5 linked regions of the Tribolium castaneum genome follow. The protein of the gene in region 1 interacts with the protein of each later gene in a biochemical or structural test. Links are inferred from orthologs where the notes say so. Each region holds a gene or a part of one and is shown in the gene's direction. Other genes may lie near its edges. The genes, in order: Nup98-96, mbo, Nup154, Fs(2)Ket and nuclear RNA export factor 1.

Region 1 (2,944 bases):
TCTGGCCCGAAGAGGATCAATACACCATTTCGGAGGAGATGTACCACACAGAATCGTCGATCCAGACGCTCAAGTCGTCGCTTTTTGTCAATTTGGAGAGTCAAGAACCGAAGAAGACGCAAAGTGTTCTCAAACAACAGCTAATCCCGAGCAAGGTTATTGTGACGCCTAAGGTCTACAAACTACCGGATATCAGACGTAAGTGTGCAGGAAATCAGCATTCTAAAGTAGATTATTTCCATGGCCCTTAAAACAGCTCGAATTGTTCCAGTAACTATTGTGTTACCAGTTTTTTCTAAAATATTACAGCGTGTCTATTACGTACGATTAAATAATTTTCAGTTTGTTATATAATATTTTAATAGTATTTTTGTTTTCTAAGAAATAAAGCTATATTTGTTTATTTATTTAGTGGCAATCGTTCCGGAAAAAGTCACCACAACTCAAAAGTGTTACACGGAGATGGGCGTCTTCCGCTGCAACACGTATAAAGTGGGGTGGGGGAAAGGTTTCAATTTCTATAACTATGATCCTGTTGCTGACAACGAGGTGGTTTATGCCCTCACTCATTGTAACGTCGATGTCATGAATGCGAACTCAGCAATGGTTAGTTGTGCGTTTGTGTTATCTTATCATGTGTTGTATAATTTGATTGTAGCCAAACTTGACTGATTTACTTAAAGTAACCCTTGAGGAAAGTGATATCGTGCTTGATAATAACCAAATACCAACTCTTCGTATTAAATGCGACTTGAATTACCTGCAAAAACAAACCGATTTATTCAACGATTACGTAAAAACTCAGCCACTGTCAGGCCGGGAAAAGTACTATTGTAGCGTTTGGAATTTGTGTTTGGCGCTGTGGGGACCGGGCGATAACACGCCTTGTATGCGAAGACAGTACGTCAGTGACTGGTTGAGAAAATTTTCGTACGAGTTATCCGGCGACGTAACTTTGCATGACCGAATCGGTCGTGACGAAAGTGAGGCATTTAAAACGATTTTCAAACTATTGTCATTCCATAAAATTGCTGAAGCGAGCGAGTTGGCCGGTAGCAACAATTTGAGTCAGTTGAGTCTGCTGATCAGCCAGATGAGTGCCAACGAGAGGGTGAAAGCCTGGTTGAGGAAATACGTGGAGAGTTTTGAATGGAGGGAGAGGGATGTAATCACTGATGATTTCAAAAGATTGTATTTGCTTCTTGCCGGCATACCGGTGCATGAAATTATAAACACTTGTGAGGATCTGGACTGGATGAGGAGTTTCGGGGTGCATTTGTGGTACGTGGCCCCAGCTGCAGCTCCGATTAGTGTGGCGTTTAATTTGTATAAGAAAGCGTTTGAGGAACTTGACTATGCAGCAAAGCCGGTACCGCCGCACTGCGAGGCTGATTCGCCAGTAAAACACTACGATATTCTCTACCAAATTTTGACGCTTTATGTTGATGGTACGCATCAATTATGTAATGTTTTGCATCCCGAAACACACACTGATAATCTCATGGACTATCGGCTTAGGTAAGTTTGCAAAAAAACAAACAGTTTTGTGTAAATTGAATATTGTAGTTGGTTTTTGCTTCAATTGTTTGCGTCATTGCGAGTCGGGTTGATTCGCGAGTCGGAAAAGGATCACTTGCACACAACGTTCGCCACCCAGTTGGAGAACTTGGGCCTTTGGAAGTGGGCGATCTTCTGCCTCCTCTTCCTTGAAAACAACTTGTTGAAAAAGAATCTGGTGATGAGAATCCTTGATAGGAATCTCTCGACTCGAACCGAGTCAGTTGAGAGAGAACTTGTGAAGACTTTCAAAATTCCCGCATCTTGGATCCACGAAATCAAAGCTACGAAAGCCAAAATCGCCGGTCGCTACTACGAGTACTTCCAGCACTACATCTACATGGGGAAGTGGCAAGAGGCCAATGCCGCTTTTATTGACAATATTTTACCCGAGCTGTTCATTAACGAACAGTACGACTATTTGAATAGCTTTATCAATAAGATCCAACCGTATTCCAATCTCCTAGTGAACTGGAACACGCAGGTTGGACTTGTTAAGGAATTTCTGGAGTTGCAAGAAACATTGGGTGGAAGTACCGAAGTGTCGTCCGTTGGGGGAAAACTAGCTTCCTTGTTCCGAAGAATTAACTGCTTTCCGACTAATAACGACAAACAGAAGCTGTTCGTTGTTGAACTTTCGCGAAAATGTGCCTTGCTGTTTAAGATTTTTCACAAGAGTTTAGATAATCCGGTGTTCCAAGCCAAGTTTGTTGAGATTTTGAACAATCTGGCCATGCCTCCTGATATTAAGCATTATGAGTTCTTTCATCTGTTCAACAAATTCACCGTAGAGGAGCCAGAAATTCGTTAGTTATGTATTTTTAATAATTGTCATTTTATGTTTATTGTAATTCCTTTCTGCTTAATAAATATGTTATTGTGGACGAGTGGTTTTAATAAAAACGTACGCGATGGATTAAGGAGATTCATTAAAGAAGTACATACATTAAAAAAATAGTATTTCACACACACATTTCGTTTATTGGAAGTCATTCTCGAGATCATTCTCGTTATACATCTTGCTTTCTTCTAAGTAAACACTCGACTTAAGGCTGTGGTGAACTTCAATCAGTTCAAACAACGACTGGAAAAACTCTATTGTGCAAGCCAACGTTCCGTCCCGCAGTTTTTTAAACCCTTTATCTGCAACCACGGCCGGTTTGTGTTCAACGCGGCAAATGCAAAAATACAAACCTATCGGTTTCATCTTCCCTTGGATTAGCAAAGTTTGCTGCGAGCATGCGGCAATTATCCGTTTTATCAAATCCTCCTGATTCTCTTTACTAATCGGGTTAATTTTACTGACAAATCGGAGCAAATATTCCATGAAATAGCCTTCTTCCTGGAACAAAAAACTAGTTATATTGCGTCCTCACAGAGGATACAT
Region 2 (3,519 bases), on another chromosome or scaffold:
TGTTTTGATGCTACCTTGTGGTATGCGCTTTCAAAAATTCCATAATTTATGGTAGTTCGCTCCTGAATTAATAACTTAATAGAGAGCACACGAGTTAATTCCGTTTTCCGGTGTTTGGTAAAAGGGGTGATTATTGCTTTTGTGTGGCAAAAATTTATTTTAAGAGCGAAGAAACGCAGTGATGGGTTAGGTGATAGGACAGTTCGAACGATTAAAACCGGGGGCCAATCAACGTCCTGATAACGGGCGAGTGTCGCAAGGGTTGTCGTTATCTCAGATGTGATTCCTATGCAAATCATTCCGAGGCACTTTTGATTATTCCGCTACTGATGGGCTCTATCAGTTTCCTGGAAGGGTTAAGGAGCCGAAGGGAGGTTGCAGACAATTAACGCATTTGCGAGCAAAGACTGTCTTAAAAAAAAGCATTTTATTCCCAAATGCCTGGAATGCAGTTTTTTTCAGTTGTTGAAATTATCACGATTGAAAACTGTGCAAATGTTTTTTATTTTTTTCATGTACATTTTTTTATATTTTAACTGGACTTTAAACATTAAATTATTATTTCATTATTGTAAACCATAATTAATATGCACGTATCTGTTACATACAATTGTCGCTCCAAAACTTAAAAAAATATAGTAGTAAATTTTGTGTTTTCTTAGATGAATCACCTGGTATATCCAACGTTCAAAGTAATTTTACTAAGTCTGTTTCTGTATATACAAAGTGGCACACATTATTTTACATTTAAACTTATAATATCATGTTTAAGCAACACGTATTAATATTGCAATCTGATGAAAATTTAATAAAAAATCGAAACGTCGTGAAAAATATAAATACTTATTACTGCCTTTCTAAACATCCAACAGATCTTTTCCGGTCAAATTGTCAAATTTTCAAGGGCATAATTGTATTTCAAAATTTCAAATTACTTATTTTGCTTTTTTACTGCTTTTTCCTTTATTTTATTTTTTTTACGTAATTCTTTCTTTATTCTTTCTTCAGTCTTAAATTTCTGGTGTTTCTAATAGTAGCAGCAATCGTTCTATTTGTGTTTAAAACAGAGCTTTGTAACCCAAATCAATAAAATAAAAAACAAACCAAAAATAAAACATACAGCGAAAATATTTCCATACATTTTTATTTAAATTTCTATCGTATAAATTTATAATATAAATAATATATTTATAATATAAATATAAATCTTCGAATTTTTTTGCATTTGCTTTGTTTTTAGTTGTTTGGCTTAATTTGTTCTGTTTTTTTTTATTGCTAATTATTTTTTTGTTGTATATTTGCTTTTTCTTGAATAAATTGGAATTGAAAAAACAATAAATTTGAGTTTTTCTTGGATAGTGAGGTCATTTAGAGTCTACCTATTTATAAAGCAAAACAAAATTTCTAATTGCTTGTTTTTTTTCGAAATAGAGTTACCTAATATCATTCTCTTGATTGTAAAACGATTTGTTTATTTAATTGGACCAATAAAGCAATAACAGCAAAATTTTTATATTGTCTGCTTCTCTACGAACAAAACGAAAACTTCGTTTCTGATTGGCTAAAGCATTGAGTTATTAGTCGTTCATAATATCATTTAAAAACTTTGTTTTTTTTTATTTTCATACACAAACGGTGTATAATTTTATGCGCTCTAATTTTAGAGTTTTAGTGTTTGGAATTCTTTGAATTTTTTTTTTATTTTTGATTTTTATCTTCAATTTTTTTTGGTTACTTTTGGTTCATTATAAAAATTTTGATTGTGTTTTGTATTCGCTGTAGTACTTTTTTACTTTTTTATTTTGTTTTTGTTACAAAGGTTTTCTTTTTTCTTTTTGGATACTTTGGTATTTTTGTGGCTTCTGAACAAGAACAAAAAATTTGGGATTTTTTTTAATATGTGCTAAAGTAAAGTTGTTGAAATGCTGCAAAACCAAAGCATAATTTATGAAATTCCATTTGATTCTATTGATGGAAACCAATTTGGTTTTTAATTAGACCTAAGGCAACAAATGCAAAGTTTTTATATTGACTGCTTCTCTAAGAATAAAACGAAAACTAGCTCCAAATTTGCGTTATTAGTCTTTAAAAATTTCCGTTAAAAACTTTTTTTCTTTGCTTTTTTTTACACAAAGGGTGTATAATTTTATACTCTCTGTATTTTATTTTCGTGTTTTAATTTTTTTTTAATTTTTTTATTTTTTTTCTACTTGTTTTTCTTTTTTACCATTTTTAATTTCTAGTGCTAGATTTATTTATCCTCAATTTCTTTTGGTTACTTTTGGTTATAGTAATGTGTCTTTCGTCAGTGAAGTGTTTCTTATTTCTACACTGTTCAGTATCTTTCTGAATTTCCTTTGAACAAGGACAAAAAATTCGGGATTTTTTTTGATTATGTGCTAAAGTAGAGTTATTGAAATGCTGCAGAACCAAAGCATAATTTTTGGAATTTTGTTTGATTTTTTTGATTGAAAACAATTTGGATTTAGTTAGACTGTTTATCATTTATTAATTTAACAAAGCAAAATTGACAGTTTATTTAGGTACTTTATTCTCGTTAGTGGTTAAGTTTGTTAAAATATTATTTCAATAAAAGATTCTAACCGGCGCAAAAATGGATTTATCTATCATTGTAATAATTTTATTTATTTTTTATTTATATTTTTTTTACTTTTTTTTTGCATTTGTTTTACATTTGTGTGTTTTCGTCTTAGTTTTTAGTTCTTTACACTTTTTTACTTATTGTTAATTTCCTGACTTTTGCCAGAAATTTTTGCCCGAATTTTATTTTTTAATGTCTTAAGCAATGTCAATCCGATAACTGTTCTTTCGATTGAAAAGGATTTATTGCTTTAATTATGATTTTTCTTATTGTTGGAGATCTTCATCTGGATAAGATCCCCCATTAGCGTAAAATTTCCATTCCGTTGTCCTCTCCGATACACACAGGGGGCGTTTTTCCTCCTCTTTCCTCGTCGTGGATCGGAGGGTGTGTGCAAGTCGTTCGTTAATTTTAAATCTATTTTTACGAGACCGAAAAAGCCTCCGGCCGTGGAAAAATAGCTCTTAGTTAACGGCAAAACGGTCGTGGATAATAGCTTCTTTGACTTCTTAGATGGATTTTTTAATATAATAATTTCAATAATTTATACGCTCGCTTTTCCCGGGCCCGATTTAAATTAGGCAATAACCGGGATTAGTACGGGGCGATCTCCTTATTTTTTATGCATCAATATCAGGATATAAAACGATGCGGTCGCGCCACCCGAATTTTTCCACTTAATTGCACCTCGTTTATCAAACGAGCGCAAAAAATAATAAATAATTTTCTTCTTCTTCTTTCACAGAATCTCTTCCCCGTACTTCCGGTCATGTTCCAACCGGAGTTATTGCTGGTCAACGATACCGGAACATTGCTGCTGGTGGCCGGCCCGTCCGGAATCATAGTGATGGAGCTGCCGGCCATGCACCTGCTCTATGGGGCCGATAGCAGAGATGTGGTGTTCTGCAGGTGACTAG
Region 3 (2,677 bases), on another chromosome or scaffold:
ACCATTCAAGATGCGCAAGTTGAGGAGCGCTTATCACTAAACTCTCTCAAATTGTTCGTGTGCCACTGTTGCCAAGTCATGGGACTTTGGCGGATTTTATGCGAACACCAGTTCCATGTTCTGATCGGTTCGTTACCAGCGAACCATCAGACTATTTTACAAGATACCACTTTTAAAGACCTGTTCTTGTACGGACAAGACATTTGTTCCTTGCTGATCACCACTTTGGTTGATAGTTATCTGGGTGATAACGCCTCAGTCGACTCGATTAGTACCAAGTTGAGAGAAGTTTGCCCACATTTGTACAAAATCGAAGATGCGGCATTTTCGAAAGCCAACGAAATGCTGAAATCGTCCCGAAACATACAAAACGTTGACGAAAAGGAAGAAATGGTCATGAATGCACTTGAATTGTGCAAATCTATCGCACCAAACATTAATTTACCGGGGATTTGTAAACAATTTGTTACGCTTAAAGCCTATCATGCTGTCATTGACTTGTGCATAACTTGTGCCAAAAAAGTCGATCCGGATAACATAGCGCAGCATTTTTATAAAAATGATTCGTCCGTTGCGGACCAAGAAGGCCGAGATTTCTACCACAAAAGGTAAATTCAAATAAGTTCGTTCCTCGTAATTAAATTGTTGTCCAGGTTGAATATTTACAAAGAAGTGTTTAATATGTTGGACACGTTATGTACCGAAAACACCCCAAATTTGAGTATCAGTTCTGGAATGCCGCTAGAAAGTGACGCCCGATTGCTGGTCAACCAATTAATCAGCGATATTTTGGAATACCCGGACGAAATTTTACACGTGGCTCTGTATGATTGGATGATGAAGAAACAACTGAGCAGCGAACTAATTAAAGTCAATAACACGTCCCTTGAAACTTATCTGCTTCACACGTCGCAACAGAACCCCGAAAATGTTGCTGTTGTCGACTTGTTGTGGAAATATTACGAAAATAATAATAACCACGCAGCTGCCGCCAAAATCCTTGATAGTCTGGCGTCAAAAACGGGGTAACTAATTTTTTTGTTTGCGATTTCGTGTGATTATTTTTTTCCTGTAGGAATTCGCTGAATTTGAAAGAGCGTTTGGAGTATTTGACACGTGCCATAATGTGCATGCGGAGTGACAAAGTGGGCTATGCCCCCTATTTGGGGGTTTTCCTGCGGGATCTTGAGGATAAAATGGAAGTGGCTAAAGTGCAAGAGCAGATTTTGGACGCTGTGATTGGCTTAAGGGAGTCACACCCGGCAGCTGAGGACGCGATCAGGGCTTTGAATTCTGGGTTGTACCAGATTTCGCAAGTAAGTGGCTTGGAATAATTTTTGTGTTTTTATTGTGGTTTCATAGTTGTATGAAAATTTCGCTGACCCGCTCGAGCTGTGGGAATGCCAGCTTGCCATTATCGACTGTGCTGGGTACACAGACGAGAATTTAATTGAGAAAATTTGGCGCAATATTTTGAGGCGTGAAATTAGGAAAAGTACCGGCAATCCCAATAACAGAATGGCCCAAATTTTGGCCAAAGTCAAGCACGTGGCGCGACAAAGTGGCACTTCAACCCAGTGTTTCCCCATTGGTAAAAAAAAATAAAAAAATTCGGTTATTTATCGTAATTTTTTAGCATTTCTTGTTTCCGAACTGGAGCAATTGTCGACGTATTTAAAAGCGGACCGGTCTTTTGTTCCCAAAGCTTTCGTCGCGATGGAATTTCCGCTTGAAAGTCTGCTTGAAATTTACAACAGGCTTATATCTTCCATTTCTGAGATTCAAATTTGGCAAAAGGAAGAGAACGAGTTTCATTTATTTGAAGCTGTGGCTGCACTTATTGAGACGTTTCTCAACAGTCATGAAGCGTACAACAGCGTGCAAAAGTAAGTCAAGTGAATATCTATTGCGTTTTAATTTTTTTTTTGTAGGCGAAAAATTATTTCGCAGTGTCAGGACACAGTGGCCAGTCTTTTATCAATTTTGTACAGTAAAGCCAACACTGAGGAACTAATCAATATGTTGAGAGGCATTCAGAGCAAATTGTCAAGGTTGTAAAACGGGAAGTTTGTGCCTAGATTATTGTGTTCACTAATTTGAAATATTGGTCTTATTTTATATTTTAAGAATTTACAAACAAATAAACTGATTTTTTCTAACTAGTCGTTTATTATCCCATCCATTTCTTCCTGATCTACAATGAGGATTATTTCATCGTCGTCGTTTGTACATTCAGGTTGTGGGTCATTCTTTTCCTCTACTTTATCACTATTTTTGTTTGCTTCCTCCACATTACTTGCGTCTTTTGGTTCGCTGTTATCAGCTTGTTCCACATTTTCCTTATCCTGTGGGGGTTCAGGAGACTTCTGTTTGTCTAGTCTGTCTCTAATCAACTTGATTTTCTTCTTCTGTGTTTCGGGTTCAGTTTCATTTTTATCTTTTGGTTGTTCGGTCTCGGAGTCACTAGAAGTTATGACAATTTCCTCATTTTTCGGTATTTCAATTATGACATCGTCATTATCGGAGTCATTATGCTCCTCAACTGGCGTTTGTTGCGTATTTTTCTTGCTAGCTTCCAGCATAAGTTGCGACCTGATGGCCCTTGCCCTCGCCTGTAACTCAAGAAGCTCTAAAACGCTCATTAAATTTTCTTCTTGCAACGGTGCTTCTTTGAGTT
Region 4 (4,319 bases), on another chromosome or scaffold:
TTTGGAGACTACGGACCGTCCAGACGGCGCTCAAGCTAATCTCAGACCGGCAGCCTACGAGGCTTTGATGGAAATGGTGAAGAATTCACCGAAAGATTGCTACGTCACCGTACAAAAGACAACAATGGTGATTCTTGAACGTTTGCAACAAGTTTTACAAATGGAAACACACATTACGAGCCACAATGATAGGTCACAGTTTAATGATCTCCAGTCGTTGTTGTGCGGAACACTTCAGTCGGTTTTGAGGAAAGTTACACCAGAGGACGCGCCGCAAATATCCGACGCCATCATGACTGCTATGCTGACCATGTTCAACTCGAATTCGTGCAAAAGTGGAGGTAATTCACCAGCCAAATGCGCCTTCAAATAAAATCTTTCGCTTACACTTTACAGTGAATTGTATTAAAGATTTTAGTTTGAAGGCGTATTATAAAAAATTATAAGTACGGGAATTAAACGTTGTTTGTGTTAGGTGTACAAGAGGACGCACTGATGGCAGTGTCAACCCTGGTGGAAGTCCTCGGTGAAGGTTTCATCAAATACATGGACGCGTTCAAGCCGTTTCTTTACATCGGCCTTAAAAACCACCAAGAGTACCAAGTTTGTGGTACCGCAGTCGGTCTAACCGGTGACATTTTCCGCGCTCTCAAACTAAAAGCTCTTCCTTATTGCGACGAAATCATGACTCTTCTGCTCGAAAATCTCGGCGATCAATCGGTCCACCGTAGCGTCAAGCCACAGATTCTTTCAGTGTTCGGCGATATCGTCCTAAGTATCGGCCCCGAATTCAAAAAATACCTCGATGTTGTTCTCACAACACTAGCGCAGGCGTCGCAGGCACAAGTCGATAGAGATGATTTCGATATGGTCGATTATTTGAACGAATTACGCGAAGGTGTACTTGATGCTTACACGGGCATTGTACAGGGTTTAAAAGGCGATGGCCCGACACCTAATCCCGACGTTTTGATTCTCGAACCGCACATTCCTTTCATCGTTCAATTTATAACCGTGGTGGCACAAGACACGTTCAATTCTGATGCCACGGTTGCGGTGGCTGCCGGATTGGTGGGGGATCTCTGTACGGCTTTTGGAGCACCACTTTTACAACTCCTGGATTTGGAGCCGATCAACGAGATGTTGGCGAAAGGCAGACGAAGTGGAACTAATCGTACTAGAACTTTGGCCACTTGGGCTACGAAGGAGTTGCGCAAGTTGAAGGCTAATTCGACGGCCGCTGTAGCTAGTTGGTAAGTGGGAGTGGACAGTTTCAGCAGATCCAATTGGCAAAAAATCGTTACAAATAATATAAAACAGACATTATTAAAATTATAGCTGGGATTTTTTTAAAATTAAAATAAAGTTAGTTGTGGTGGGTCGGTTGGATCTGCTGCGTTTGAGACTTGGCGTTGGACTGTATGTGTCTCGCGAAAATCGGTGTGCTGAGCGAAGTTTGACAGTGCTTTCGATGGTTTCAGATTTTCTTTGGCATGTTGTGGTTTAACAGAAGGAAATCTAACGAAGGTGTGGTCAACGGCATCGATATTGGATTCGCATTATACATAAAACCAAAATTCTTGCAGACTTTAGTTTTCGTTTTGGCTGAGTCGGACCAGTTTTGCTCATCTCTCGGTTGAGTAAAGCTGGTCAGCTAGTTTGACATGGTATTGTTCCCCAATACTTTCGGTTTTCGGGGTGCAGAGTGAGTGCTGATGCATATGGACTCTTGATAAACTGTGAGTGCTAATCGTAGCTGTGAACGCTTGTGAATAGTGTCTGAATCTTCGCCTGGTTTCGTGAAAGGCGGTTTAGCTCAAGACTGAAGAGTGAAGTGGTGTCTCCTCTATCACTTGTTGCGTCTTTTACGTTCGTCTTCACTTTAGTGTTGTACTTGATTACAATAAAAGCATTTGTCTATTTCACATATCGAATTAATCATAAGTAGTTATTTTTATAATGGTCTTTGGTGAAGAAATTACCTATGCACTGCAGTCAGACAGAAGTAATCTTAAAATCCTGATTTATTATTGCTTCTTTGTTTCGCTGAAGTTGTGTGTAATTTCATTGCGGAAAAAAGCAAAACACGCTCTGGTGCTTCTTTAGATTTTGCGAATTTATATTAACTTTTCTCTTAAAAAGCAAAAGACTGCGATAATCAAAAACTGTCCAGAGGAGCGTGTTTCGGTTTTTCCCTGGTTGATTTTTTTGAAACAATTTCCAATTCACTGAATTCATACTCAGGAAATTTGAGAATAATAAATCTTGTGACTGGTATTTTTTATGAAAGATTTTTGTGAGGCCTGATTGTGCCTTGCGTGGGTGGTGTATGAAAATTTTCGAGTTTTTCGTATAAGTCGACACGCTGATTAAATATACGAAAGTGCTTGAAAGGGAGGGTGGGTATCGCAACAAAGTAAAAAAGAATCTGTGATTTGAGAAGGTTTCTGTAGTTGCCAAAACACGAAAAAGATACATTCAAATTCCATTAGTTTTTTAAATGCGTATAACGAAACCTTCTCAATGTTTTCGTAATTATAATTCTAGAATTATAATTATAAATTCCTTGTATGTGTGATATTTTTCCGTGGGCAATATTGAAATAAACCAATTTTTGTGTTTATTTTTATCACTAGTCCATTAAGCGACCTTCGTTGTTTTGGAAGGTACATTAGCGATGGGTTATTTTAACTATTGCCCACGTCTGGGTTCAAAGGCTGTATGAAATCACTTGTATAGTATGTAAGTAGTGTGGTTGTATATTTTGTATGTACGAAGTATGAAGAATTTTATTATGAAGTAGTGTAAGAATTTCTACTGGCCTAAATTATTTATTGAAGCTTCTAACTGTTTTATGCACACCGAGATATTTAATTTTAAAAAGCTCATTTTTATGGTTTTGTGAACCAGCCAAAGTGTGATTTTAATCCATGATCTTTTTAAAATTATTTCGAATTCTACGAATGTTCATGTGCAAAAAGGTTGCGTTACAATTAATTGGAAGGGTTTTGAGTGGAAATGTTTATGGTTGCATATTTTATTGGTTGAATGTTTTGTTTTGATTGTGCCATGTTGATTGTTAATCTGTAATCACCCCAAACGCGCCGATGTTTGACAATATGGTTTTCTGTGTGTTCTGAAGACTGAATTTATTAATTAAATAGCCTAGTAAAGCTCAAATGCCGTATGAAAGTTGACGCAAAATGCGGCTTATTCCAAACTTGGTATTGTCGAACACCGGTTACTTTTCTTCTTTTCCCTTAAAAATGTTACCATGTCTAGGGTGCCTATTGACCAATTCATCAAAATTGTATTAGATTTTAATTTTGTTAAGTTAAATTCCCTGCACGCCTTTTCAGTTAGGATATTTCACTTTTTAAATTCCCTCCCAAACGCTTGGGATCACTCCCGCAGAATTGGGATTTTTGTAGTTGTACGGATAATAAATGTTTCCTTTCTTTACACCCTGTTTTCTTTCACCCAGCCGCAGCAAAATTTCGCAAAATTCGACCAAAGGTAAGACTTTTCGAATAAATCCAGGGTTGTGTCTGTGTTCGTGTTGCATCGCCCCAACTGACTCTCACCGTAATTTATATGATTAGTGATTGATTTCAGGCAAGCGGGAAATAATCTCATAAACCTCACTCCTAAGTCTTCACTTATAAACCCAGCAATGGTCACTCAGTGTTGCGCAAAATGGATCAAAATGAACAAAACCATAGCGTAAGTACCACTTTCGCACCCAACCCAACAAATCTGAGCGCGAAAAATTCCAGGAATCGCTTGACCTAGACGACCTTTTACCCCAAGTGGGCGAATTCGGACGATATCAGAAACTACTTCTCTGGCTCATCTGTCTCCCTGCATGCCTCCCGTGCGGTTTTTGCGCCTTCAACCAACTGTTCATGACCGAAACGCCCGATCATTGGTGCAAAACACCACAAACACTCAATCTGACACAAGAAGAACGAAAAAATCTCTTCATCCCGAAAAACAACAACTCTTTCTCCAAATGTCTGAGATACACAATTAACTGGACACAAATCATGGACAATATCACCTCGGGGGCCACCGAGGGGTGTTCTGACGGGTGGGAGTTTGACCAAGACGCCTCCTCCAGCATTGTCACAGACGTACGTAGTCACACAAACCAACTATTTTGCTAACAATAGTTCCAGTTTGAGTTAGTTTGTGACAAAAGTATTTACCCCACCTTGGGCCTCGTGGCCCTAAACTTGGGGGGCCCTGTGGGCGTCTACTACTTCGGGATGTTAAATGACAGCATCGGGCGCAAAAAATCATTCTTTGTCTGTCTCACA
Region 5 (4,041 bases), on another chromosome or scaffold:
TACTGGATGATTTTAGAATAAGATTATTGCAACTGGTTAACGCGGAACATGAAAATATAGTCGAATCGAAGATCCCCACGATTGCTAACACGATCTATTACATCGAGAATGTTTTAGTTGATTGGGGGGCAATGTTGGTACGGCTGGCTCGAACCGTGCGATTTGATTGGCTGAACGCAGACTTTCAGCCAATCAAATGGCACTATCTATACTTATGCAAGTGTTTCAGCACTATTTGAATTTATACTACTACAAAAGCCAGTTGAATGACTACAAAGCACCCACAAGCCCGTCAAGTGATTCGGACGACTTTGACCCCACGGATATTGAGGGTGAAACTGTTTTTGCCGAAACTTTATCACTCTATAGGCACATGAGACGCGACTTGTTATTTAATTTATCAGATTATGTCATGTTGGAAGTCAGGTCACAAGGTAAAGCCTACAGGAGGGAAAGGTGGTCCTCTATGAATGTCGGTAAAGACATCAAAGGCCTGTCTTTAACACCCACAGCCTGCCCTATTTTCGAAATCGTGGCTAAACGACTACACCAACTGCAAAAAACTCTAGCTTCGAAACTTTTTACGATAGTTTGGCGCTCGGTTGCGCAACAATTAGATAATTACCTCTTTGAGGATCTTGTCCTTGATAATAGATTTAACACTGGAGGCGCTTTGCAGTTAAAGTATGACGTAACAAGGAATTTACTGCCGTTATTTTCGCAATATACCGAAAGGCCCGAAACGTATTTCGTCCAGTAAGTTATTTACTCAGTCGGTAAAGTGGAAAATAAGAACTGTTGCAGACTGATTGAAGCTTGCAATCTTTTAAATATAACTAAAGGGTCCGCTTTGCTACTACGAGAGACTCTCTTGGCTCTTGAGGGGGCCACAGGTATTGAGGACTCCCGCGGGAGAGCCCTCAAGGAGGTTGGGGTGGTCAGCTTCACCCCAAAAATGGCCGTTAAGATTCTAAACCAGCGCACCGACATTACTGTTAATAGGATGGACGTTGATTGAAGCATTTATACGTTTTGTTGAGAAATTTTATAATAAATGTTTTCCCCACCATTGCATTTCATTGAATCACCCTGTAAGTGAATCTAGAGTAGAGTATAAAATGTTACTTCTGGGCCAGAATATTTGGCGTCTTAAAAAACAAGTCAGAACCTTACAAATTTCCTGTACTCTACTATTCAAAAGTCGGTGATTTTCTCAGGGAATTTGGCCTCGCCTTGTTGGCAGCGCGTATCAATGGCGTTTACTTGTCGAAAGTGAAGTGGTGTTAAATCAGGCTCAAAAAAATTATTAAAAAAACAATAATAGTTATAGTTAAGTGCTAGTAAGTAATTGAGACGCTACTATGGCCTCAAAGGGCGGAAAATACAACAAACCGTCGTGGAGAAGCCAATACAGTGGTAAGTCCCCAGCACACTCCACGCGATTCGTTTAAAACGCAGTAAATTGCCAGAGCATGATTTTCGCGGCGGTGGCGAGACCCGCAAAGTGAGTTTCAAGTCAAACAAGTATAAAAAGGACAATAGAAACTGGGCAGCGGCGAGTAGGGCGTACCTGGAAGATGAAGACATTGACATGGGGGCCTCGTCCGGGGGCGGGCGAAACTTCAACCGGAAGCAGTTTAAAGGCAGACGGGGCGGTCGCGGGGACTCGCCCGTGCCCAATCACAAGAAACGGCGGCTTTTGGAGAGCCCCTTCGGTTGGTACCGCGTGACAGTAAGTGTATTAAGTGAGGCTTTTTGGGGGTTTTACACGTGTTTTGCTAGTTGCCGTTTGGGAATAAATACGAGAAGGCGTTCGTCTTGAAGACGCTGCTCGAGCGGATCCAACCTTTGCCCTTGTGGCCAATTACGGTAATGGTTTGTTTGTGTGAGGGTTTTTGACTGATTTTTTGTCTCCAGTGGAGTGTAAACGGCACAACTGCCACTTTTTACATGGATGAGTTTAAAGCCGCGGAAAAGCTGTACGATTTAGATCGCCAGATTCAAATGCCCGACGGGTTTAAATTGCTGATTAAGGTCAGTCATGGGATGCCAAATGTTGACGTTAATAGTGAGATGAAGGAGAAAATTAAATTAACGATGGCTAAGCGGTACAATGCCGCTAATAAAGCGCTCGATTTAACGAAATTCCACGCCGACCCTGACCTACAAGACAATTTCTGTGTACTGTTCAAACCGATCATTTTTCTAACAGTTTTGGAAATAATCGCGGAGAATATCCCAGAAATTGAAGCGATTAATTTATTCGATAACAAAATAGCAAACTTGTCGTATTTAAAGAAGACCAATGAGAAACTGCCCCATTTAAAAATTTTGCATCTAGGAAATAATAAGGTAATGTTGTTGCCCAAAATCGGGGATTTTGTAAATTTGGGGATTCAGTTTAAGGATCTGTCAATGTTGGACCCTTTTATTGGACTACCTATCGTCGATATTGTTTTAAATGGAAATCCATTATGCAACAAATACAAGGACCAAGAGGCGTACATTGGGTAATGTTGAACTAATTTATTTTTTGTAGTCATCATGTTATGAACGTGAATGCATATGAGGGTGACTGGTTATCGGAGATTGTCACTTGAATAAAAAAGAGGTTTTCTGCCAACAATGGAATAAAAGTACTTGAAAATTATTAACGAAATTTGTTGTTACGCAAATTTCAAAGTCCCAAATTTTCGCGATAATTTGTTTAAAACTTAAGTAGCATTACATGTGGCTTCGTTGCATTGTGGCTGAATTCTGCATTTGGCAACCTTTTAATATTATTGTTTGACTATAATTAAGTCACTGAAGTGTATAAAAATAAAAAAAAATCACATACAAACATTTCCATGGGATTACATAATTTTTGTTTTGTATTATCAAAGTGAGAGGAGGTTTCTCAAAGGTGCGTCCTTACAGCAGTTACGAAGCTTCGTAAAGCGATAGCTGGACAAGCATTGCAAGATTTTGCTGTCCATAAACAATGCAGTTAGTTTAAGAAGACAGAAGAACTACAAGGAGTGGACCAGAACACTTAAATGTGTATGTAATTTGGCAAAAATGCTTGTAAATCAAGCAGATTGTCTTGTTTTTCTGCACCTTAAACAATCAATGACTCCTCATAGTACAATAATTATTATATTTTTTTGTTTTATGTAGTAATCTTATGGAATTGATACAAGACATAATAATGAAAAGAAATACTAAATAATACCGTTAAAAAATTGAAAAATTATATGCTCTTCAGTGGCGATTTATTCTAAATTTATTAGTTTTGTTGTTTAATGCAGGAGTAATATAAATTGTTGATCGTGTAATGCTGTTTTAGTTTTAAATTTACGAAGCTTGTCTTACTTTGAAATTGTGTAACAACTGTCTGATCGGTTGCAAAATTCCTCGGAGGTTTAATTCCCAAAATAACAAACTTCAATAAATTTTGATTGTTTAACACTTTGTACAAAATTAGATTTTCGTAAGTTTTTGAATTAAACTGAAGAGGGCACAAAATACTGGAGCTATTGTATCCTATTTTTTTTCAAATAAATAATGTGTTAGGAAATGAGAAGTGGCTGAAAATACGGTACAAAAATCACTAACTCAGAATTTGTGACTAAATCAATTTCCGTTCCTAGAAAAAAAATCAGCATAAAGCTGTATTTATTCTTTTTCATTTACATAATAATTTTTTTTTCGCCCAAATACTTCTTGAATGAGTTTATCCCACTAATTCACAATTGTAACATAGTTATAATTCCGTTCCTAGAAAAAAATTCAAAATAAAGCAGTATTTCTTCTTTTTTTATTTACATAATAAAATATTTACAACATATTTACATAATAAATTATTTTTGCTTAAATACTTGAATGAGTTTCAACGTTTCATCAAGGGTGGATTTTATAATCGTCAGATAAACCCCAGATAATTTATTTCTAGTATAATTACTATGGTTACAATTGTTATAACAATGTATTTTTCAAAATTTATTTCTTAGATAAAGTAATCCTACGATTGTAAAATCCGCCCTAAATGAAAGATAAAAA

What was found.
Region 2: the proteins of Nup98-96 (region 1) and mbo form a complex in vitro, tested with the Homo sapiens proteins (2 studies listed by BioGRID). The link is inferred for Tribolium castaneum from reciprocal best matches to the Homo sapiens genes NUP98 and NUP88.
Region 3: the proteins of Nup98-96 (region 1) and Nup154 form a complex in vitro, tested with the Homo sapiens proteins (2 studies listed by BioGRID). The link is inferred for Tribolium castaneum from reciprocal best matches to the Homo sapiens genes NUP98 and NUP155.
Region 4: the proteins of Nup98-96 (region 1) and Fs(2)Ket form a complex in vitro, tested with the Homo sapiens proteins (3 studies listed by BioGRID). The link is inferred for Tribolium castaneum from reciprocal best matches to the Homo sapiens genes NUP98 and KPNB1.
Region 5: the proteins of Nup98-96 (region 1) and nuclear RNA export factor 1 form a complex in vitro, tested with the Homo sapiens proteins (5 studies listed by BioGRID and IntAct). The link is inferred for Tribolium castaneum from reciprocal best matches to the Homo sapiens genes NUP98 and NXF1.

What each region holds. Positions count from the first base shown.
Region 1 is NC_087403.1:3,508,290-3,511,233, reverse strand, and holds the end of Nup98-96 (nuclear pore complex protein Nup98-Nup96), read left to right. Parts: coding exon 1-198; intron 199-412; coding exon 413-606; intron 607-658; coding exon 659-1,518; intron 1,519-1,566; coding exon 1,567-2,368; 3' UTR 2,369-2,441; downstream 2,442-2,944. Other genes in the region: protein tyrosine phosphatase domain-containing protein 1, read right to left, coding at 2,537-2,700, 2,752-2,899. UniProt on the Homo sapiens protein: Plays a role in the nuclear pore complex (NPC) assembly and/or maintenance. NUP98 and NUP96 are involved in the bidirectional transport across the NPC. May anchor NUP153 and TPR to the NPC.
Region 2 is NC_087401.1:12,421,535-12,425,053, forward strand, and holds part of mbo (nuclear pore complex protein Nup88), read left to right. Parts: intron 1-3,347; coding exon 3,348-3,511; intron 3,512-3,519. UniProt on the Homo sapiens protein: Component of nuclear pore complex.
Region 3 is NC_087397.1:1,220,665-1,223,341, forward strand, and holds the end of Nup154 (nuclear pore complex protein Nup154), read left to right. Parts: coding exon 1-608; intron 609-653; coding exon 654-1,025; intron 1,026-1,075; coding exon 1,076-1,316; intron 1,317-1,362; coding exon 1,363-1,591; intron 1,592-1,636; coding exon 1,637-1,886; intron 1,887-1,931; coding exon 1,932-2,058; 3' UTR 2,059-2,159; downstream 2,160-2,677. Other genes in the region: DNA ligase 1, read right to left, coding at 2,160-2,677.
Region 4 is NC_087398.1:2,426,369-2,430,687, reverse strand, and holds the end of Fs(2)Ket (importin subunit beta-1), read left to right. Parts: coding exon 1-341; intron 342-475; coding exon 476-1,253; intron 1,254-1,481; coding exon of another isoform or gene 1,482-1,482; exon of another isoform or gene 1,483-3,462; intron 3,463-3,615; coding exon 3,616-3,723; intron 3,724-3,776; coding exon 3,777-3,792; downstream 3,793-4,319. Other genes in the region: CarT (carcinine transporter), read left to right, coding at 3,697-3,723, 3,777-4,133, 4,179-4,319.
Region 5 is NC_087399.1:3,670,969-3,675,009, forward strand, and holds the start of nuclear RNA export factor 1, read left to right. Parts: upstream 1-1,224; 5' UTR 1,225-1,361; coding exon 1,362-1,416; intron 1,417-1,469; coding exon 1,470-1,732; intron 1,733-1,782; coding exon 1,783-1,869; intron 1,870-1,917; coding exon 1,918-2,352; intron 2,353-2,400; coding exon 2,401-2,510; intron 2,511-4,041. Other genes in the region: Rint1 (RAD50-interacting protein 1), read left to right, coding at 1-137, 230-756, 805-1,018.